4 linked regions of the Sus scrofa genome follow. The main gene of each other region encodes a partner of the protein of the gene in region 3 in a complex. Links are inferred from orthologs where the notes say so. Each region holds a gene or a part of one and is shown on either strand. Other genes may lie near its edges.

The links.
Region 1: TIMM21 (region 3) and TIMM17A share a complex: the UniProt entries of both Homo sapiens proteins name them as parts of the TIM23 complex. The link is inferred for Sus scrofa from reciprocal best matches to the Homo sapiens genes TIMM21 and TIMM17A.
Region 2: TIMM21 (region 3) and TIMM17B share a complex: the UniProt entries of both Homo sapiens proteins name them as parts of the TIM23 complex. The link is inferred for Sus scrofa from reciprocal best matches to the Homo sapiens genes TIMM21 and TIMM17B.
Region 4: TIMM21 (region 3) and SMIM20 share a complex: the UniProt entries of both Homo sapiens proteins name them as parts of the MITRAC (mitochondrial translation regulation assembly intermediate of cytochrome c oxidase complex) complex. The link is inferred for Sus scrofa from reciprocal best matches to the Homo sapiens genes TIMM21 and SMIM20.

The regions. Positions count from the first base shown.
Region 1 is NC_010452.4:24,198,216-24,203,756, reverse strand, and holds the start of TIMM17A (mitochondrial import inner membrane translocase subunit Tim17-A), read right to left. Parts: upstream 3,413-5,541; 5' UTR 3,358-3,412; coding exon 3,332-3,357; intron 1-3,331. UniProt on the Homo sapiens protein: Essential component of the TIM23 complex, a complex that mediates the translocation of transit peptide-containing proteins across the mitochondrial inner membrane.
Region 2 is NC_010461.5:42,972,856-42,978,681, forward strand, and holds the start of TIMM17B (mitochondrial import inner membrane translocase subunit Tim17-B), read right to left. Parts: upstream 3,433-5,826; 5' UTR 3,191-3,432; coding exon 3,018-3,190; intron 2,161-3,017; coding exon 2,061-2,160; intron 771-2,060; coding exon 707-770; intron 1-706. Other genes in the region: PQBP1 (polyglutamine-binding protein 1), read left to right, coding at 3,810-3,876. UniProt on the Homo sapiens protein: Essential component of the TIM23 complex, a complex that mediates the translocation of transit peptide-containing proteins across the mitochondrial inner membrane.
Region 3 is NC_010443.5:149,852,468-149,858,022, forward strand, and holds the start of TIMM21 (mitochondrial import inner membrane translocase subunit Tim21), read right to left. Parts: upstream 3,437-5,555; 5' UTR 3,104-3,436; coding exon 2,806-3,103; intron 1-2,805. Other genes in the region: FBXO15 (F-box only protein 15), read left to right, coding at 4,074-4,201. UniProt on the Homo sapiens protein: Participates in the translocation of transit peptide-containing proteins across the mitochondrial inner membrane.
Region 4 is NC_010450.4:19,698,772-19,704,466, reverse strand, and holds the start of SMIM20 (small integral membrane protein 20), read right to left. Parts: upstream 3,426-5,695; 5' UTR 3,309-3,425; coding exon 3,200-3,308; intron 1-3,199.

The sequences.
Region 1 (5,541 bases), on a different chromosome or scaffold from region 3:
GCTTCCGTGGTTCTGAAAACACAACCAGCAACAAATACCTGGGAGCTGCCAGAACTGCAGGCTCTTGGGACCTCCTGAATCAGTCTACAGTTTAACACAATCCACAGGTGACCTGACCTCACTAAAAAGGATTAGGAAAATTCCCTCAAAATAGTAGAAACATTAACAGGTAGAAAAGAGGAAAGACAGGGAGTTTCCGTCGTGGCTCAGTGGTTAACGAATCCGACTAGGAACCATGAGGTTGCAGGTTCGATCCCTGGCCTTGCTCCGTGGGTTAAGGATCTGGCGTTGCCGTGAGCTGTGGTGTAGGTTGCAGATGCAGCTCAGATCCCACGTTGCTCGGTGTAGGCAGGTGGCTACAGCTCCCATTAGACCCCTAGCCTGGAAACCTCCATATGCCCCGGGAGCTGCCCAAGAAATGGCAAAAAGACAAAAAAAAAAAAAAGGGCGGAAAGACAGAGGAGAGTCACTAACTTTAAACAATCTAACCTAAATGATCCTCTAATCAGAACAGAAATAAATCAGCATTTAAGAAATGAAGACTAGCAGGAGCCAGGAATTCCTGCTGTGGCACAGCAGCTTAAGGATTCAGCATTGTCTCAGTGGTGCTGGTTTGATACCCTGCCCTGTGCAGTGGGTTAAGGACCCAGCATTGACACAACTACAGCTCAGATTCAATCCCTGGCCCAGGAACGTCCATAGGCCTCAGGTGAGGCCATTAAAAAAAAAAAAAAAAAAAAAGGATTCAGATCAGAGCAGCCACAGTATTCGGACAGGATGTCCCAAACAAAGGCAAGACGGAAAGTTTCTGAACAAAGCCTGGCTAAATCCAAATGTGCCTGCAGGGAACTGATGGTCTACACCAAAGGAAGGGTGAAGCCAGATTCTAAAAGCAAATGCTAGGAAGTTCCCGTCATGGCTTAGTGGTTAACGAATCCGACTAGGAACCATGAGGTTGCAGGTTCGATCCCTGGCCTTGCTCAGTGGGTCAAGGATCCGGTGTTGCCGTGAGCTGTGGTGTAGGTCACAGACGCAGCTCAGATCTGGTGTTGCTGTGGCTGCTGTGTAGGTGCGCAGCTGTAGCTCCGATTGGACCCCTAGCCTGGGAACCTCCACATGCCTCAGATGCGGCCTTAGGAAAGACAAAAATGCCAAAAAAAGAAAACTGGAAGAAAAAAAAAGCAAATGCTAGGCAAATACAGGGCAACAAGAACCAATAACCAATCATACCAAGATTAAAAGTCATCAACTACACTGTAGGTACCTTTCGGACTTTCAAGAAAGCTAGATTATTTTCTTATAGAATCCCTATCTTTTAACTTTGCAAAAGAGTATTTGTCTCCTCTCCATTTTACAGATGAACAGGGACTCAGAGATTAGGTAACTTGCCCAAGGTCAAATAAAAAATACCTAGGAGTTCCCGTCGTGGCTCACTGGTTAACAAACCCAACTAGTATCCATGAGGATGTGGGTTCAATCCCTGGCCTTGCTCAGAGGGTTAAGGATCTGGTGTTGCCGTGAGCTGAGGTGTGGGCCGGCAGCTGCAGCTCCAATTCGACCCCTAGCCTGGGAACTTCCATATGCTGCAGGTTCAGCCCTAAAAAGACCAAAAAAAAACCCCCAAAAAATCCCAAAAAACAAACAAACAACAACAACAAAAAACCTAGTCGTTCCTGTCATGGCCCAGCAGAAACAAATCCAACTAGGGGTTCCATCCCTGGCCTCACTCAGTGGGTTAGGGATCCGGTGTTGCCATGAGCTGTGGTGTAGGTCACAGACATGGTTCGGATCCCGAATTGTTGTGGCGTAGGCAGGCAGCTGTAGCTCCAATTTGACCCCTTGCCTGGGAACCTCCATATGCCATGGGTGCGACCCTAAAAAACAAAAAAAAAAAACCAACCAAACAAAAAAAAAACCTAGTAGAACCAATTTAAATACAAAATCTAGTACTCCAAAGCCCCCAAATTCTTTCCACTACATCCTATAGACTAAGGGCTTTTGAAAAGAAAACATGATTAAAAAGTATTTAGGGTGGCTGTGGCGTAGGCAGCAGCTACGGCTCCGATTGGCTCCGATTGGACCCCTAGCCTGGGAACTTCCGTATGCTTCGGGTGCAGCACTAGAAAAGACAAAAAGACAAAAAAAAAAAAAAAGAAAGTATTTAGGACCATTAAGTACCTATCATACATTTAAGGAAGAGGACAGAAGGAAAACAATAAAGAAGCTTCTGTAAAAGGCATTAAGGACAGAGGTAAGGTCCTGACTACAGGAACTGAAAGCGCAAGTCCTCAAAGAATTCCGACGACAGCAAGGGGGCTGGGTGGGGTGGTGTGCAGGGAGGGCAAGATGCTTGTAGTTTGAGCCTGGATGACCTTAGGGACCAGGGTCTTCCAGAAGATCAAAGCAGTTGAGGACAAAGCCAACCTGAGAACTGAACTGACCATGCGGCTTCAGAACATCCGGAGTAAGAGAGCACAAAGGGGCCATTAAATGCGTTTGTAGATGACAACTATCACTCCCTAACACCTCTAACAACCAAGTGAAACAACTTCCCCTCCTGCCAACTTGTGCCCTATCATACCTGACATGAGCAGTATAGTATGCTGAGTCCTGCACACCTGAGTACAACCCAGGAAGGGGTATCACCTTTGGAGAAGGGAAATTTAAAGAACTGGGAGGCTCTGCAAAGTAATACTCTGTATCTCAGTTCAGGGAGGAAAAAAAAGCACAAAGCAGGCAACATGGCTTTTGCTGGCACGATTCGTTACAGAAAGCCCTGGCCCCTTCCGACAGATGGAAAGCACCGGTGATTAACCCAAGTAACACGTTCTATTTTCACTCCTGACCCCAGAAGCCTCAAACTTTGCAGGTCGGACTCCTCCATGCTTTCCTTCTGAGGACCGAGCGACTGCGGAGCACAGGCAGCCCCCTGCCCCAAAACATCGAATGGACCGACTCCCGTCGGTGGCTTTTCGAGAACACACGCCTCGCCCCCACGGGAGAGTCCCCAGCCCGGCCCTCGCCCCCAAGCGGCCTCCTCGGCCTGGCTCCCTCCCCACGCAGGCTGAGCCACGCGGGCACAAGGACGAGCCAAGGTCGCCGGAGGGCAGAGGGGCTGCTTCCCACCCGCAGGTCGGACAGGGGCCGCGTCTGCACAGCTGAGCCGGGGCGCCCTCGAGTCGCCGCAAGGTCACCGGCTGAGAAGCCGGCCGCTCACGCCTGCGTGCCTATAGCCCCGGCGCCGCCGAGCCTGGCGCTGAGCGGTCTCGCCTCGGGAGCCAGGCTGGGCCGAGCCGGGCCGGGAGGCAGGCAGCTCGGCGAGAAGGCTCACCAGGGCTCGCGCGCGTATTCCTCCATCTTGACTCCGCGGCGCCGCGATGCCGGGTAAACGGGGCGGGGCCTGGCCCGGCGGCGGAAGTGATCCCGGGAGGAGGGCGTTAGAATCTGCGGGGATTGGCTCGCCACCTCCTCCCGCAGCCAATGAAAGCCGGGGCCGCGGGGCGGAAGGCGGGGCTCAGACCAGAGGGGCGGGCCTCCGAGGCGGAGGGGCGGTGCGTGTGGGTGGCCGCGTGGGGAATCCCAGGTGAGGAGAGGTACCCAGAGCTGAAGCTGCGGGGCCTGGTGGGGCCCGAAACAAAACTGCCGTTGTAACTCGAACCTCCCGAATGACTTTCTCTGTTTTAGTACCCGGCTGTCAAGTGCGAATTACTGCTGCCAACTTCGACGGGTCGGTAAGGCCCCCACTGCTGCCACGGAGCTCCTTAAGATGGGCAGTACCTGAATATTTTATCTCGGGGGGGCCGGAATGTAGTGAACGTTCCATGAATGTTTGTGAACACCTGGGGCGCTGCCGTGATTCATGGGGGACCTTAACATGGGGGACAGCAACAACAGAGTTCTTCCGGACCTCACTCTAAATGATCCCGGGAGATGTAAGGGGGGCTTAGCCCAGAGGAGGAGACAAAAGGCTGGGGGCCATCGGCCTGAAAGCAAAACCTCAGTCAGGTGACAGCTGCTATAGGTCTCCATCCTGAACATCTGAGATTGACTTTAAAATGTCCAGAGTTCCTCTGGTGGCTCAGTGGTTAAAGAACCCGACTAGTAACCAAGAGGTTGCAGGTTCAATCCCTGGCCTCGCTCAGTGGGTTAAGGATCTGGCGTTGCCCTGAGCTGTGGTGTAGGTCACAGATACGGCTCGGATCCTGTGTTGCTGTGGCTCTGGCATAGGCTGGTGGCTACAGCTCCGATTGGATCCCTAGCCTGGGAACCTCCATATGCCATGGGTGTGGCCCTAAAAAGACAAAAAAAAAAAAAAAAAAAAATCCTCAACGAAACAAAACATGTGTGTACATTTATTTCATGGAAAAGTTTCTGTAATAAATAATAGCAAACTGCAGGGGGAATGAGGTTCCCCCCCCCAAATCTTGGAAATAAGGTGAAATGAACTGAACCCTCCACAGAACTAAATAAAGCTAGTCTGGAAGTGTGAAAACAACAATTCAAACCAGTCCTCTGACTTGGATGCCTGCGTCCAGGAGGGCTTACTTATTTGGAATGTGTGAATGTAATTAAAAACACTTCAGGGAGTTCCCATGGTGGCTCGACGGGTTGAAAACTAGTTCTTTGGGGCTGGGCAAGGAGGCCTCGGACTTAGCCTTTGGCTGGAGGAGAAAGCTGTCACCCCACCCTTGGAAGTAGCCCTTCCATCTTAGAAGAAAAGAGCTGAATGGTCAGTGACATAAAGGAATGACAACAAGACTCATAGACAAAAGGACTGGGGTCCCCGAGAGTGAACTGACCCTGAGTCTGGGGGAGTGGAGTGGAGCTGGTAATCCAATGCTTCAGGGCTTATTTGGTGAAAGTGGGTGTTCTGGGCCAAGGATGAGATGGCACTGGACCCCCAGAGACCCAGGTCCTCTAAGTATTGCTTTGTGGAAAACAGCTCCACCAGGGGACTGAAGGAGGTGTGGCCCTGAGACCTGTTTTGCTGCTCGATTTCCCCAACTGAACAAAACAAGGGAAGGAAGCTCCTCCCTTGGAAGCCGCCTGGAGGCTGTGAGGCTGTGACCCTGCGGCCTCTTGCCCACCCCGTCCATCCCATACCCCACCGTTAGCTTTCATTCATCTGGCACCCTTGAACTTGTACACCCAGTCTTTTTCCACTTATTGAGGCTAGGCCCGGGACAGGACCATCAGATGGATAGCGAGGTGCAAAGGAGAGGGATTGGGAACCCCAAGTCGACAGTGACACCCTGACTCTGTGCTCAGGATGCTCTTCGTTTAAGGCCTGGGATGGAGAGGGTACCGAAAATATCAGCATGGCTCCTCCCCTCAGGGTCTTCCAAATGTCCTCAGAGAGGAAGAATAATAAAATGATCAAATGCCAACGTGGATGACATAGGACATGATACAGGCAGAGGCATTCAGAGGTGAGAGAGCCCCAGGCTTGTGAACTGGCATTTTGAGCTGGAGCCTGAAGAAAGTAGGCTGCTTCTGATGGGCGGCGAGGAGGGTTGAAAGCAGAAGGAATGACAGCAGCGA
Region 2 (5,826 bases), on a different chromosome or scaffold from region 3:
TCCGGCATTGCTGTGACACGCAGCAAACACAGCTTGGGTCCCATGTTGCTGTGGCTGTGGCATAGGCCAGTGGCCACAGCTCCAATTTGACCCCTAGCCTGGGAACCTCCACATGCCCTGGATGTGGTCCTAAAAAGACAAAAATAAATAAATAAATAAATAAATTATTCCGGGGAGTTCCCGTTGTGGCGCAGTGGTTAACGAATCCAACTAGGAACCATGAGGTTGCGGGTTCGGTCCCTGCCCTTGCTCAGTGGGTTAACAATCCGGCGTTGCTGTGAGCTGTGGTGTAGGTTGCAGACGTGGCTCAGATCCCGCGTTGCTGTGGCTCTGGTGTAGGCCAGTGGCTACAGCTCCAATTCGACCCCTAGCCTGGGAACCTCCATATGCCGCGGGAGCGGCCCAAAGAAATAGCAAAAAGACAAAAAAAAAAATAAAATAAAATAAAAAAGAAATGCAGGGCTCAGTGGGTTAAGAACCAGCCTAGTATCCATGAGGATATGGGTTAGATCTCTGGCCTTGCTTGAGATCTTACATAGGCTGGTGTGGCCGTAAAAAACCAAAAAAAAAAAAAAATTCCCCCAGGAATTCTCAGCCAGGCAGAGTTGTGGCTAGAATCTGGACCCCCGATGTGCATTCTAGACTCAAAGGAGCAGCCACCCCCAACTTTGTTATCACACCTCTTTTGTCTCCCCAAACCTCGCACCTCCAATCTGAGGGGCTCGGATCCTCACAGCGTTGACGCTGCCTCTCAATCGGTGCCGGATTCCCTGGAGGAAAGTGAGGAGGACGGGAGTCAGAGCAGGGTTGAGGTCCACGGCAGACAAGGTTTCTAGCTTTTAGGAGAGGCACTGGGGCTGGAAAGGTAGTAGGGGTGTCAGGGGTAGAGATGTGGAGCAGTGGCCAAGAACTAGGAGGGCTAGGGAGCACCCCCACATAAGTGGCCTGAGATGTTACTCATTCATTCATTCACTTATTCAGTAGTTACTGAGCACCAGTGTGCCAGGCCCCCATGCCATAAGCAGGGTTCCAGCAGTGAACACGGTAGACCTGGCTCCTACCCTCTCAGAGTTCACAGTATAGGAGGAACAGATCCTGAACAAGGGCACAGGTGAACCAGATAGCTTCAGACAGCCGCAGGTAATAGAGATAATAGGATGAAGAGATCTGAGAGTGGCTGAGCAGTCAGTAAAGGCCTCTTTGGGGTTGGGGGCTGAGACCCTGAGGAAGAGAGGGAGAGAGTCGGGCAAAGATCCAGAAAAGAGAGTTCCAGAAGGTGGGAGAGGGACAGGGCTAGAGAGAGAAATTGCAGAGACTCTGACATTAAATGGCATTTCAAGTCATGACATTTGAGGAGTTCCTGTTGTGGCTCAGCGATAATGAACCCAACCAGTATCCATGAGGACTCGGGCGTGATCCCTGGCCTTGCTCAGTGGGTTAAGGATCCAGCGTGGCCCTGAGCTGTGGTGTAGGTCGCAACCGTGGCTCAGATCCCGCGTGGCTGTGGCTGTGGCTGTGGCCGGCAGCTGTAGCTCCAATTCGACCCCTAGCTTGGGAACTTCCACATGCTGCAGGTACGGCCCTAAAAGACCAAAAAACCCAAAAAGTCATACATTTGATGAGATCTCTCAGGAAGGGGGAGGGGGGAGTTGTTCAGAGAGACAGAATTGAGTATGTTCAATTAAAAGCATATTGTCAATTTTAAGGCTGTCCTCCTCCTGCCAATTAAACTCCTATCACTTCCCTCTAGCCAGGCTTCCAACCCAGAGTCTGTCTTTAGGTAACATCTGTCTGGCTTTGCACACACACCTTTAAGTTTTGTGATGACAAAACCTTTTGACAGCACAGCATTTCCAAAGAGGAGCTCCAGTTGGGTGGGGGGTGAGGGGCAGAGGTCATGTATGCAGTTCCCCCAAACTCCCAGATCGTGGAACCAGGCCTGGCACACAGTAGGTGGGCAGGCACCAGAATGATTAAGTGCCCGTGACTGGCACTCCAAGCGGTTTTCCCATGTGGGCGGGGCAAGACCCCCGCACCACCCAAGGAAGGTCAGGACTCACGACAGGGGCATTGCGGAAGCCCTTAATGGCCTGGAAGACTCCACCGCCGATAACACCCATAGTGAAGGCTCCACCGCAATCATCCACAATTCGCCATGGGCTGCAAGCGGGAAGGGGAGGATAGGGTTAATGTGAGCCCTCCCCCATTTTATGTCACAAGGACACTTTCCAGCTGGGAGAAACTACGTCACTCAAATGGGGAGCAGCACTTCAAATAATAAAGAGGGTATTTTCCTCCATATTCTCGCAAAGAAACAGTGCGGAAGGGGGAAAAACATTAGTCGTTGCCCTTGTCCGCCCCTCTCCTTCACAGCCAACTGGTTTACTGCTAGCAAAGATTAAATGACTTGATTGCAAGCAAAGAGTGGGCACGTTTAAATAAGCGCTACGGAAGTGTTAACAAGCTGGCACTGTAAAGTACAACGGGGGTCGCACCCCCTCCTCCGACAATGAGCTCGTCCAGCCACGCTCTTCCCTTTCTTCACCTTGCACGAGGGAGGAAAAACCTAGCTGCAGACCGTGGGGACGATCCGACACCCCCTCCTTGCCCACAGTGGGCTCACCCAAGCCCCGCCTCCATTCACCAAAGGGACCTGGGAAAAACCACGCGCGGTAACCCTGGGGATTTCCGCCTAGCAACACACCACCCCCCGGCTGGAATGGATTCGACCAACGTGTCTCTTTCCGTTAACAAGAGGGACCGGGGACAAGAGTCAAGGGAAACGTGGAGTGGTTCGTCCTGCACCGCACCAGCTCCTTCAAGCACACAGTTGTGGCCCCTCTTAACGGAGCCCAAGTAAGGAAACAAGTGGACGGGAGCGGAAGGAGACAACAAACGTTTAAAAGTCTCCCGAGTCTGGGACGTGGCGCTGTGTAGCCAGCGCCTCCCCCGCCCGCCTCCCACCGCTGGCCGTGGCGCCGCAGCAAGAGTCCCGAGGCCTGTGCCCCTCGCCGTACCAAGGCTCCCGAGCGTACTCCTCCATGGCGCCGGCGTCCGGCCGCGCAGTCTGGCTAAATCCCGGCCGGGCCACACCCCCACTGTAAACGCACACAGGCGCCCGAGCTTTCCACCTATTCCAAGGTAATGATTGGGTCCTTTCGCCAGACGTCAGGCCAAGGCGCACTCTCATTGGCCAGTTAGGTTTCCGTCATCTGTTCTCTGCAGCCCGAGCGTCGCCCAGTTACCTCTGGCTCAGGGAGAGAGGGCCTCATTCTTTCCCTCAGGAGAAAAAGAGTCGTGGTCCTGGCGATCATAAAGGCGTCGAGAGAGAGGCCGACAGTCTGACAGCCTTCCGCAACCCGCGTGACTGTATTGGTAATGTCGGGGTGGGCGCATTTTTTGGAGCTAGAGGAAACCCTGCTCCCCCCACCCCTGCTCCTTGGTTCCTTCCACCCGGCAGTCTTTGGGGGACGTTGGGTGAGCCCATTTCTGGGGCGCGGGGGAGCGGCGCTTGGCCCCTTCGGCGATGGGTGGAGCCTAGGCCTGGGAGAGGAGGCCTGGGAGAGGAGTCCTGTCCCGGAGCACCCCGCCTGGAGAGGAGAGTTGGCGAGAATTTCGGTGATACTGCCGTTTATCCCTTCCACCTTTTAGCGGGTAGGTTCTGTTGCCCAGCTCCTGGTGCAGGTGGGTAGGTGGGAGTCTAGATGAGTGCATGTTGGGGAGAGGCGCTTGCTTACGAGCTCCAGATTCAAATCCTTATCTGAACTGCTTTCTCGTCTGTCCTTCCCTAGGTCTGTCTGCTACCCGCTATGCCGCTGCCCGTTGCGTTGCAGACCCGCTTGGCCAAGAGAGGCATCCTCAAACATCTCGAGCCCGGTGAGAGAGCTAAGAGCAGATGGGCCTACCATGTGCCAGGCTTGACAGGCACTTTGTTGTTGATATTGCCACTCGATCCCTAGTATGGGCCTACTATATACCAAGCAGTGGGCTGGCAGACATTTTGTTGTAAACAATACGTATTCCTGACGCCGATTCCTACCGCGTGCGCGCGGACGCCTACGGTGGGGGTGGGGCAGGGAATAGACATTTCAGCTTTAGTCGTACCTAATACTGACAGCTGATGCTTATCTTGGATCTTCATACGCCAGATTTAATCCAATCGATCCCTGGAAGAGTATCTAAGGATATTAATAGTAAACTGACATCTATTACAGCCTCTTTTGGACCAAATACAGTGGGAGGAGGCTGATATTTTGTTCTTTACCATACTAGTAGGTAACATTTTTTTCAGATCTACTGTAGAGCCAGGTACTGTTCAGGCGATATATACCGACTTGTTCACCAGTTCAATAACTGACATGTATTTCGGGTCTGCTTAAGTGGCTGGCATATGCATTATGGTTTACAGTATGTAAAATAATGGTAGGGGAGTTCCTGTCGTGGCGCAGTGGTTAACGAGTCCGACTAGGAACCATGAGGTTGCGGGTTCGATCCCTGGCCTTGCTCAGTGGATTAAGGATCCAGCGTTGCCGTGAGCTGTGGTGTAGGTCGCAGACGCGGCTCGGATCTGGCGTTGCTGTGGCTCTGGCGTAGGCTGGCAGCTCAGCTCCGATTGGACCCTTAGCCTGGGAACTTCCATATGCCGCGGGAGCGGCCCAAGAAAAGGCAAAAAAACAAAAAACAAAACAAGGATAATGATAGGATCTGTCATTTTGGCCTGCTGTGCTGCCGTTGCCAGTATTTATACCTTACTGTCATTACAGTAAAAGTTGGCATCTATTTTGGGCTAAGGTGTGGCCGTGTACTGGAAAACTCATTTTCACTTTATTGACAGGTGACATCTATTACAGGTTTGTTGTGTGCCAAGCATAGATCTTTGGTTAATAATACGGATAATGGTCATTGATATTTATTTTAAGCTTACTGAATACCGGGCCTTGTGCCCGTGGTACGTTTCTTACTAACAACACTAATGATTATAGCTGATGATCTATTTTGGACCTATTGTGTGACAGGCACTATGTTATTGCTGAAATAGACATTTCATTGTTAGCTGTATACACAGTTGAAACCTGTGATCGGCCAACTGAGGTCCAGGTACTCATGTACCTTTTTTAAAATGTTTGGTCTTTTTATGGCCACACCCACGGCATATGAAAGTTCCCGGGCTAGGGGTCGAATCAGATCTGTAGCCGCTGGCCTATGCCACAGCCACAGCAATGCCAGATCCGAGCTGCATCTGTGACTTACACCACAGCTCACAGCAGTGCCAGATTCTTAACCCACTGAGCAGGGCCAGGGATCAAACCTTCGTCCTCGTGGATGCTAGTCGGGTTCGTTATTGCTGAGCCACAATGGGAACCCCCACTCATACACCTTTTTTATTCTGTTGATAGTAACTGAAAACAGTTGCAGGTCTCAGGAGCTGAATATATTCAGAGCAGTGTTTGGATAAATGCCTTGCTCTCCAAACTTGCTACTCAATATACTAGAATCAGAAACTCCCTATTTGCCAAGCTGGAGAACTGAATGAATTTGGACGTTTTTAGATAAAACCTTTGCTGTTCAAACTAATTTTGTCCAAATAGGTTTGGATAGCGGGGAGTTTCCGTCATGGCTCAGTAGTTAACAAACCTAGTTAGTATCTATGAGGACGCGGGTTCAACCCCTGGCCTCACTCAGTGGGTTAAGGATCTGGCATTGCCATGAGCTTCAGTGTAGGTCTCAGGTGGGGCTTGGATCCTGTGTCGCTGTGGCTGTGGCCTGGAGTGGCAACTACAGCTCCAATTTGACCCCTAGCCTGGGAACCTCCACATGCCACAGGTG
Region 3 (5,555 bases):
AAATATGTGTAGTTCATGGGCCTGATCCACACAGTCACTGAGCAAGGCTCATGTCATGGCGAGGCTGCCCTCCCAGCACAGTCACTGCTGCCTCACTTAGACTTTCCGGGAGGCCTCTTCCCCATTAATTCAACCACAAATGTCTACTGTATATATTCTATGTAAAGCCCACCATCCACACATTTTTAAAGCTTAAGTGTTATTTCATAGTTGTCTTCAGTGGAAGCTGCTCTTTGCCTACTTCCTCTCCTTGACCCTTTCAGACTCTACACTTTCATACAAAACCCTTGTGCCATCTGTCTCTGCAATTAGGGGTGCTATGGTGAGCACCCACATGCTCCTCTCAGGACCGAGGCTCTCATTCCCCCAGCATGGGGAGTCCCTCGGGCTGCTGGCTGGCTGACGGAATTCCTGCACCTGAAGAGAGCCTGCTCACCAAAGCCCTGGCGCTGCCCATATCCAGTGCTTGGCTGGTGTGGATGCCCCCCACCCCTGGAGATGAGGACTTCAAGGGCCAGCCCAGTTCCTGAGCTCCTGCAGAAACAGCTGAGGCAAACACCCTGTGCTTCAGCTTCTCCTTCTGCCCAGTCCTGCCTCCCTCGCCCTCACAGAGGCATTCTGAAAACACGCCCTCAAACCTCCCGCTGACGAACTGTACAGAGTTGGCTTCCTTGGAACTCGCCCTACGGTGGGGCCTGCAGGAGTGGTCCTGGGAAGGTGCTCCAAATTGGGATTTTGGAGCTGCATCACTGGCTGCCGGCTGGCCTTGAGGACTCCACCCCTGGTGGCAAGCAGTGATAGCACAACTGTCTCGCCTCTCACAGATGACCTGGGAAACTGGTGGGAGGGAATGCCCTAGTGGGTGTCATATTTTGGGAATTTAGGAGAAATAAGCAATTGGAAGGGCTCAGATTGGATGGCTGTAGTTGAGGGCCACCAATACACTGAAGAAAGAAGACAAAGGTAACTGATCACTAATGAAGGTCAAGTGTAAAAGGCAGAGGCCTCCTTGAGAGCAAAACCAGAGACTCATTCGTTGCACCCAGAGAGCAGAAAACACTGAGGGCAAGGCCCAGGCTAAAGAGTAGCAGAGAGGCTGGACTTTCAATCCCACCAGCTTTCCCACACCGAGGCCAGGGTCATGACTTGGGAAGGAACCTGAAGCTTGGCAGTGGTGTATCGAGGCTGATGCATCTCAAATCTTGAATCTGCAGATTCTCCTGAACCCTCCAGTGTGAAGCAGCAGCTCTCACCTCCCAGGGAAAGGCTAGCTCTTCCTCTTCTTTGAAGACCTGGTTGGGGCTTCCATCTAGCAAGACCTATGCTCTAGGCAGGCTGCAACATAACTAGGGGAAGGAGGACATGAGCCACTCCTAAACAGGCTGGAGGCTCCACCAGCAGAGCCAGGAGACACAGAATGAAGGGCATCATGAAGGGGCAAAGAATACAGAACGGGAAAAGTGAGACTTGATCAATAAGGGAGCACGCTCCTCAGATTAGAAACTAAAGTCTGACAAGCGGGCTGGGAGCAGATGCACAGCTAGGCTCGCTCTTAGAAAGATGGAGAGAGCATGGTCTACCTTAAGTGAAGCAAAAATAACAGAACTGCCATGGAAAACTGTGTAGGAAATGATCAAAAGTCACAGAGAGTGGGTCTGCAAGAGAGGACAGAGGCAGAAACCCACCAGCTGACTGTCATGTAGAAGGGTCTGGAAACCACCGTTCACATTGTCACAGAACAAGCTGTCCTGAAAGCCATGGGGGCAGCTATGGTAGTGAAGCCAGGGGGAAGCAACCATCACAATGAATGGCTTGGTTTCTCGACCTGAGTCAGTCTTCAGACCTGGAATCCATTTACCCAAGGGAGGCCAACCTCTATCAGGGGGCACCTGAGTAACTATATATGATTCCCCTGGCCCTTCATCAGAGACCTATGCCATTAACTGCATGCTGGGAAAGGGGACTACCCAAACATTTCAAGGTCTGCCAGACAGAGTCTGAGCTGACATCAACCCTAAAGAGTCATTATGGTGGCAATGTGATAAAGAGCCTGGCCTGGAAGAGGTTCATAGCTGGGTCCACCGCCTTCTCTGATAGTCATTTCCCTGATTTCCAATGTAGAAATGGAATGGATATGCGTGGTAATTGGCAACAACAGGCCCTTCTTTACTTCCTTTGGAGGTGGGTTAAGAGCTACTATAATGGGAAAAATCCAATGGAAGCCTCTGAAACTGCCTCCCACTGACCAAGATAGTAAATCAAAAACAGTATCACATCTAAGAGAGAATGGCAGAGACAGTGTTATCAAAGACTAAAGACACAGGGGTGGTTGTTTTAAAAAGCACTGGCCTGGATATTAGAAAACTGAGGATAAGGAAGACTCACATTCAATTTTGAATTGTGTGAAATTGGGCAAATATGCTTCGTACATACTAATGAATACTAACGTCTGAAAGAGTAAATGTGAGACTCAAATGAGATGAAATAACATCTGGGAAATGTACTTATCTATTGTAAAGTATTAAACAACGGTTAAGTTTTACATAGTTCTTTCCACAAGTAAAAGTTGAGAAAAAATTTACAGACACAATTCAACTAAGTTTTATCAAAATCAACTTTCATATTTCAGTTCGAATTTGTGAAAAGACCTGTAGGCTCATATGCTCTAATTCTTAACTGTGTAATGGTTCTACCTTTTAATTTGTGTAAGCTGTTTATGCTCAGCACTGAACTTGTGTAGAAGGGCAGTAGCAGCTCTCGTCACGTTGGCTGAAAGACTGATAGTTACAGGGAATTCCTTTTTACCTTTCTGTGACGTTGAGACGGCAGTATCCCCGCCCTGACTTCTGTGCACAGACACTTGTTTGTCGCTGTCCTCTTTCGCTCTCTGCGTGCTCTGTCCTTGCGTCCAGATGGTCTTCTGGGTGACTCCCCAAATACACCTAGGTCGTACCGTCTTCTGCTCTTGCAGAGCCCACCTCAAACTGGGCACAGTCTTCAAGCAAGCTTTGTTAAGTACAAAGTGTGGCAAAAACAACTGCTTCCCCGAGAAGCTGTGCAGCTTTCCCGTGCACCGTACAGCTCGTAGTAAGGTACAAATCATGTTCACAGAAAGCCGCTCCGCTGAGGGAAGATGCCAGCTAAGATGAGCAAATCTTCACTACCAACTCCACACCCGGCCAGAGGCGGACTTAAGTCCGCATTCACATCGGTAGTTCTGCACTGCGTGTCCGGCAAAAAAAAAAAAACAAGGAGCATAAATCAAGACAAAAAGTCTCCGTAAAGGAGCTGACGTCCACTTTCCCTTCTCTCCGGCCCTCTTTTTACTTGAATTAATGTGCTTTCATTACTTTCTATGCTGACATTCACATTGTCCCCGCCAGGCCTTTGCAAAGTAACCTAGGAAGCCCCTAAGAATCCTGGGAATTGTAGTTTGAGGGCAGCACCCCTCACAGAGTTGCTGCAAGGGCAGTGGCCTTAGGCCTACATCTCCCACAGTCCAAGGCTGCCTCCCAAGCTCCTCTGCGTGGCCGCCTGCGCACACACCGCACGTACTGGGCGCGACAGAAAGGCGAGACCATGTTGGGACGGTGGGCGGGGCTCCCTGCTCTGCGTAGCACAAAACGCACCTAGGAAGGTCAAGTTAGCAATTAGAAACTGCAAGTTCTTACAACCCTCTAAAGAGGGCTATGTAAACTGGGAAGTTCTCGGTGTGACTGTGGCTATGCCTTTCCTTAAGGCCAAGTGTCACAGCCTTTGTATTTGTTTCTCCAAGGAAATCAGACAGGAAGCAGCCGCAAAGTGCCAGAGTCAGCAAGGGGGAGGGGCAAGGGCGTAGCCGCCGTAAAGTCCAGGCGATACACTTGCTAGGCGTCAGGACTTCCAGCAGTTGCTAGAAACCGGGCCCCATACGTTCCTAGAACCACTCCGAGTGGAAAGGCGGTGTGGTTCTTGACCCCGCCCCTCCGTTGCGTACGCACGTCGGGGCGTGCGCTGGCGTCGAGTGGGCGTGACCCTGGGCGGTGCGACGGTAGGAAGGAGGAGGGCGCTGCTGGTGCTCCAGCTGGGTCTCCATGGCGACTGGACGCGGCCGGCTCCTGCAGCAGTACTGGCTCGGCCTCCTGGCTCGGCGCCCGCGGATTGGCGGCGACTTCTGGGCCCCCGGGAGCGCGGGAGAAGCCGCCAGGAGCGCGGGGTTCAGGTGACTCTCGGGGGCCGCGGGCAGGGTACTGCCGGCGGGGGTGTGAGCCCAGGGAGTCCCCCGTAAGGGAAGTTTCTTACTCCCCCGCCTCCCTTTCCTTTGATTTTCATTGGTTCTGCCCCGCTGCTTTTAGCGCGAGAAATGTCTGGAAGGCCGGCGGGAAAAAGTTTCTAAAGCTTGGGAGCTTGGGGCTACCCCAAATAAATTCAAGTAGTGGAGCTTCTCGGGAATATTTTCCCCTCAGTTCATTAAGTTAATGGGCCCTGCCCGAAGCTGGGGCGTGTAAGCCCGAGACCCCGAGCAGCCCTCGGGAGAGGCGCAGCGTTGATGCGCTCCACCTGCGGAGGTAGGTGCGAGCGGCCCCCTCTACGGAACGTGTTCCCGAAGTTGCTTCCTTATTCTGGCACCAGGAATCACATTTTGTCTTTTTCTTGACTTTATATCCTAGAGAAGTAGAATATACTCTTAAAAATGTTTTTTCTCCTGAGCGCGGTTTGTGAATGGAAGGCTCAACCCCTAACCAGATAACTCTTTGTTAGGCAGGTTGGTCTGGGAGCTGCACTTCCGACCTCAAGGCCAGTCTGCTTTCCAAAGCAAACCTAGGAGGGTTGCTTTCTAGACAGACACCCGTTAGTGCTCAGCCCCTAGTCCTTTTCTGCCGTTTTCCTGCCCAGGCGCTAGGGCGGGGCGTATGGTATCAAGTTCTGGTGTCTGGGGGGCTCATCTCTGCTCCATTTCTTACGGAGTACCCTGGAATTGAAGAGTGCCCCTCTTCTACAATGAGAAAAGGCAGCTTTGAAGGGTGAGATGAGGAAGGAACAGGGGACAGGAGGAAGCAGTTGCTTTCCAAAAGGAACTTGGCAGCTTAACTCCAAGGTTAATGGCTTACTTCACAAAGTGAGAGACCCAGTTTGTCAAAAGCATCTGAATACTATTGTGATACCGTATTAAATCCCTCTTTTATCGTGAGCTGTTCTTAGCTCTGCACCCATCATTCCAGTTAGATTAGCAGGTGGAGGGTTAATGCTAAAGACCGTTTGCATTCTTTTTTTTTTTTTTGTCTTTTTAGGGCTGCACCTGGGGCATATGGAAGTGCCCAGGCTGGGGGTTTAATTGAAACTGTAGCTGATGGCCTACACCACAGCCACAGCAACGCTGGATCCGAGCTGGGTCTGTGACCTACACCTCAACTCACAGCAACACCAGATCCTTAACCCGCTGAGCAAGGCCAGGTATCAAGCCTGTGTCCTCATGGATACTAGTCAGATTCATTTCCTCTGTGCCATGACCAGAGTTTACCGTTTTCATTCTTGAGCACTGCCTTTTTGGTTGTAAGTCTTCTCAATTTGTGGAC
Region 4 (5,695 bases), on a different chromosome or scaffold from region 3:
GTGACATGGAGAAAAGAGTTCTGACTGCCTTGTCCAGTCATATACATCTGGCAACTGACACAGTGCCAGGCACACAGTAGGAAGTAAAATCTAGATTTTTTAAGAAATGGAAAGGAAACTAAATAAAAATGCCTGCTGGAGGCTCAGAAATGAACCGAAGCCCTGTCCTCACATGGTTCCCAAGACCTGGCCACGAATGCCCCACCCGAGTCTGTCCACCTGCTTAAATCTCCTTGTCTCACTTCCCCGCCCTTGCAGCTCCTGGTTTCTGAAATGTTTTTATGGGGTGCTAGTATAAGACTATCTTCTATGTTTCCACAAATGTTATCTCATTCAATTCACCCACAAACATGTAAATTCAGTCCTGCAAATTCCACTGTTACCGATTAGCAAACAGGCTGGGCTCAGAGAGGTTAAGGAACTCACCTCTTTGAGTAAGGGATTTTAGGCCCTTATCTGACTTACCCCTTTTCTCGCCCTCTTACAGAGACGGCCTGGTGCCCTGGTAAAGCGATTAAGGGCCCTGGTTCAAATCCCATGTCTGGGACTCATCGGCTGTGGGTCCTTATGCAGGTTATCTGTTCCATACCTCAGTCTGTGCACATATAAAATGGGGATGATGGGAGTTCCCATCGTGGCGCAGTGGTTAACGAATCCGACTAGGAACCAGGAGGTTGTGGGTTCGATCCCTGGCCTCGCTCAGTGGGTTAAGGATCCAGCGTTGCTGTGAGCTGTGGTGTAGGTCGCAGACACGGCTCGGATCCTGCGTTGCTATGGCACCGGTGTAGGCCGGCAGTTATAGCTCTGATCAGACCCCTAGCCTGGGAACCTCCATATGCTGCGGGCGCGGCCCTAAAAGGACAAAAGACCAAAAAAAATTAAAAAAAGAAAGAAAAGACAAAAAATAAAATAGTTTAGAGTAGAGTAGAATAGAATAGAATTAAAAAATAAAACAGGGAGCTAGTCACACAGCAGCTACCACAAAGGGTTGTTATGAAAACCAAATGGGTTAATATATATCAAGTGCTTGCAAGAGAGCTTTCAATAAATATTAGCTATTTAGTATTATTTACTTTTTTAAGGAATCAGTTATGACTCTCAGATAAGAGTTGTTCAAATCAATTAAAATTGAACCAGAAAAGCAGGCAGCTGTAGAATGCCTTACAGTTAAAAATGCAGATACTGGAGCCACATGCACTAAATGTTCACTTTAAAGGCCTCATTTGTCTATCTCAAGGTGACTCAGGCAACCATAGACTCTGGACTACTCCCCATCCCGCCTTTTTTTTTTTAGGGCTGCACCTGCCAGATATGGAAATTCTCAGGCTGGGGTCGAACTGGAGCTGCAGCTGCCAGCCTACAGCACAGCCACAGCAAGTGCCAGATCTGAGCTGCACCTGCGACCTATGCTGTATCTTGTGGCAATGCTGGATCCTTAATCCACTGAGCAAGGCTAGGGATCAAACCCTCATTCTCATGGATATTAGGTTCTTAAACAGCTGAGCCACAATGGGAACTCCCTGGACTATTCCTTTAAGACTGTCATTGGGAGACACAGCACAAACCCACCTTGATCATCTGCCCTAGAGCAAGGGTTTCTCAACCCAGCACCACTGGCACCACTCGCATCTTGGGCTGGGTAATTCTTTGTTAAGGGGTGGGGGCTGCCCTGTGCATTACAGAGAGTTTAGCAGCACCCTGGCCTCTATACACTAGATGCCAGGAGCACACTTACTCCACCCACCCCACCCATTTTGTGACCAGCAAAAACGTCTCCCGATAGAACTAAATGTCCCCTGGGGGACAAAAATCATCCCCAGTTGAGAGGTACGGCTCTAGTCTTCAGAACTGAAACTTTTCAAGTAGGATCCAAAGTAGATTCCCTTGTCCCAGCTTCAACTCTAGGGGCTATAATACAATAGCCCGGGGCAAGGACCAAGTAAGAAGGGATAAAACAGAGAGATAACGCAGGGCTTCCAAGGTCCCATGTTTACCCCCACGCGTGGTCACGCGTGGTCACGCGTGGTCACGCGTGGTCACGCGTGGTCACGTAGATAGATAGGCTGGAAGGCAGGGTGCAGAGGCCATTTCAATCTTGACTGATGAAAAGAAGCTACAAGAAATTTGAGTGTGTACTTAAACCGCTCTGCCTCAGAAACCAGATGTTGTAGCATTTGTAATGGTCAGAGCATTTATACAGCACTTTTGCCTTCAAATCACCAAGCTCACAGCCTCCACTGATATTCTCAAGGGGCAAGGTTGGCCCTTTTCCATCTTCTAGATGATTCAGGTTTCCTGGAGAACAAAATGAGCCTCTAATGCCTAATATTTTCTCTCTGACAGATGGTTTCAGATGTATCAAAGTGCTAATCCTTGCTGAGGTATAGGTCTCAAGGAAGGGGAGTGTGGCTTTTAGAATGATAGGACTGGAATGATTAAGGAAGAAAATTACTCCCAGGATATTCACCATTGTCATGTGAGTAACCAGCTTAAAATGAAGGAAGATAGCAGAATCTGAAGGAAGATTTGAGGAGAAAGAAGAGGAAAAACCCAAAACCTCAGGTTAACAGTTTAGCTCTGAGACATTTCTGATCAAAGACATCTTTGGGAGCGGAAATGAAGTGCAATAAACACATCTGCAAGTTCAGGACAATTAGGGCCCACCTCCCTCCCCCAATATCACCTTCCCAGCTTCAGTACAAGGAAGAAATTCTGGAGACAGAGGCCTGGGTTGGAATACGTGTCTTGCCGCTAACAGCTGTGTGACTTTGGGCATGTTACACAACCTGAGTCTCAGTTTCCCCGTCTGTAAGACAGCAACATGTACCTCAAAAAAAGGTGTAAATTAAAAGATCCTATGTGCATTAACGAGACATAGAAGCCTGCAGTGAATGTTAGCTATGAATATTAACTCGTATTTAGTGTTGACCTACGACGTGCAGACTGCCTTTGAGTCTCAGCAGAGGCTAGACGGTTTTATTTTAAGATACTACAGAAACACATAACTACTGATGAAGATAGTGAGGGCCCAAGAGGTGGAGTCACTTGTCCACGGTCACAAAGCTGCACACAAAGGATTCGAACCCAGGTCTCCCTGACTCGCGAGCCAAGCTCTGCCCAAGGCCCCACGTGGAGAGGATGGGGAAAGAGAGGGAGTCACTGGGACCAGGGCACCGCGTGGTGGTCAGAGGTCACTCACGGTACTCCTCCAGCCGCATTAGGGGCCGGAAGTAGATGGGGTAGAAGGCGGCGCCGATCAGGGTGATGAAGCCACCAAAAATGAGCGCGGTGCGCAGATTCGTGGACATGGCTCTGAACCGGGCCTTCGCTGACCCGCTGAGGACACCGAGCTCTCGCAATCCTGGCTCCTGCCCGCTGGGTCGTGACCCGGCTGGGAAGTGGAGAAACGGCTTTTGCTTCCGGGCCTTGTGGGCGGGGCTAGGAGGCGGAACAGGGGCGGGAAGAGGTTGGGTCAAGGGTGGCACCGAAGGCGGGGCTTAGGACTGGGTGGGGCTAGGGCAGGGGGTGGGGCTGGGGCGGGGGTGGGACTAGGGGAGGAAGGGGCGAGGCGTGTAACCCCACGCACCGCCTCCGGGCGGTGCCTGGCAGCGCCTGGCTGCCTGGCTCCGGAGGGCGAGCGCCAGCTGGGAGAATGGAGAGTGGAGCTTTTATTGCTCTTGATCTCAGTTCCGCCCCCTGCCCTAAACCGGGTTCACCTCTCAGCCGCTCCACCCACACTCTTCTGACCTCGTTACCACTCCCTCCTTTACCAACCAAACTTCCTTCTTCCACCACTGGTTTGATTTTCATGACTCCACCAAGAGGTGGATGCTCTCTAGGGCTCATTGATTTAATCCACATATCTTTTACAGATGAGGAAATCCTGTCTTGGCTGCATGATTTAAACAAGTTGCTTGGCCTTAAGGGCGGTTTGAGGGGATTAGAGACAAATGCAAATCGCCTGACCCTGGATGGCCAGCAGGGGCTTCTGAACCAAGGCTAGCTTGGGAGGAATATTATTGCAACATCCAAACTACAAGTAAATCTTTTCTGACTCTGATCTTCCATGCTCTCCTCTCTCCCTCTTCCCTTTGTTGGATGTCAGGATTACGAATGAGGATGGGGAATAGAGATCCGTGCAGGGCAGGGAGCCAGCAGCCAGTTCTACTAATGGGACCTTGGGGCTCTGCCTTGTTGCCTGGGGTGGAAGCCACTGAGGACAGATCTGCTTCCTCTTCCTGTGATTGCCATCCTTCATGTTTCTGGGGGGGGGCTGTGTCAGTATATGACCCACCCAGCGGTACTGGACAGCTGAGACTAAGATTCCCTGGGCTTTCACTCAATCGTTTTTAAATAAGAATGATACCAGCAGCTGGGGGCTGGGGAACAAATCTTGACCCCAGCATCATTATTTAGTGCAGAAAAGATTTACGATCTTTCGGAAATGGTGTGGAGGTCACAGGTTTCCTCTTTTCTTTGTAGTTTTGTAGTTGAGTCAAGCTACTATGTACCTCTGTGGTTCCAGAAGCATATAAATCAGGTATTCAATCTGTCAGCAGATTTATGGACTGTCCGCTGTGCCCCAAACATCAGGCAAAGTGCCACGGGGGACACAAAGATGAATAAGACATGACCCTTGCTCTCCAGGATCCTGTCATGTGGATGGAGGGACAGGACATATACATAAAAAGACAGCTAATGACCCGACACAGCCTGTTGCTGATGAGTGATGGAGTCTTGGGGGCTGCAGAAGTTCAGAGGAGGAAGACAGATGACTGTAGGTGAGATAACTGCTCCTCGGGTGCTTACAGGAGCTTGTTAGGGTGAGGATAGAAGACTTTATAGCAAAGAGGGAAGCTGCGATGCCTGCTTTATATCATGTGATGTAAAAACTCAGGTATACTGCACATTTGTCATTTTAGCCTCCCAGCATCCACTTCTTTTTCTATTAATAATACCCCAACTATCTTTTGGCAAACCACTCCTCTCCCATTCTCAATCTGTGAAGAAAACTGGGGTTCCCATGCACCCTATTTTTACTCTCTCCCAGCTCTCAGGGTTAAGCATTTAACCAAGCCTGACCAAGCTCCCCCACTCATCACGGGATTGTCTGGCACTGGACCCAGGCCTGATTGTCCAGTGGGGCTGCATCCTCCTGGCCATGTGACCCAAACTGAGCTAACCACAATCTATCCTAACTACTAGAAGGCTGGATTTGAACTTGAAGGGATGCAGCTCTTGAAGGGATGCTGGGGACCACGATGTAGATACTGAGCATGGAGAGAGTACAGCAGAAGGAGAGCCAGGAGATGGGAGAAATCAGATGCTGACATTATATTTGAGCCCCTGAATCCAGCTGTGCCCAAACCGGATTTTCAGTAACATGAACTAATAAAGTCCCCTTGTCACTGAAGCCTGTTTGAGTTGGGTCCTGTCTTTTAAAACAGAAGGTGTTCAAATGAGCCCACCATGGATGTGACTTCATTTACTCAACACCCCTTGAGCTCCAAGTCAAGGATTACACTATTTTTTAGATCAAGTCACAGAGAGCCAGAGACCTCGCACCATTGACTGAGTCAAGACCAGGGTTGAGCTCTCACGATTCTGAATCTGATGTGCTCTTCCATGATACCCTACTGTCTTTGTGAGCAAGCTTGGCAGATGGCTGGCTGAGCCCTATCCTGAGAGCCTCCGA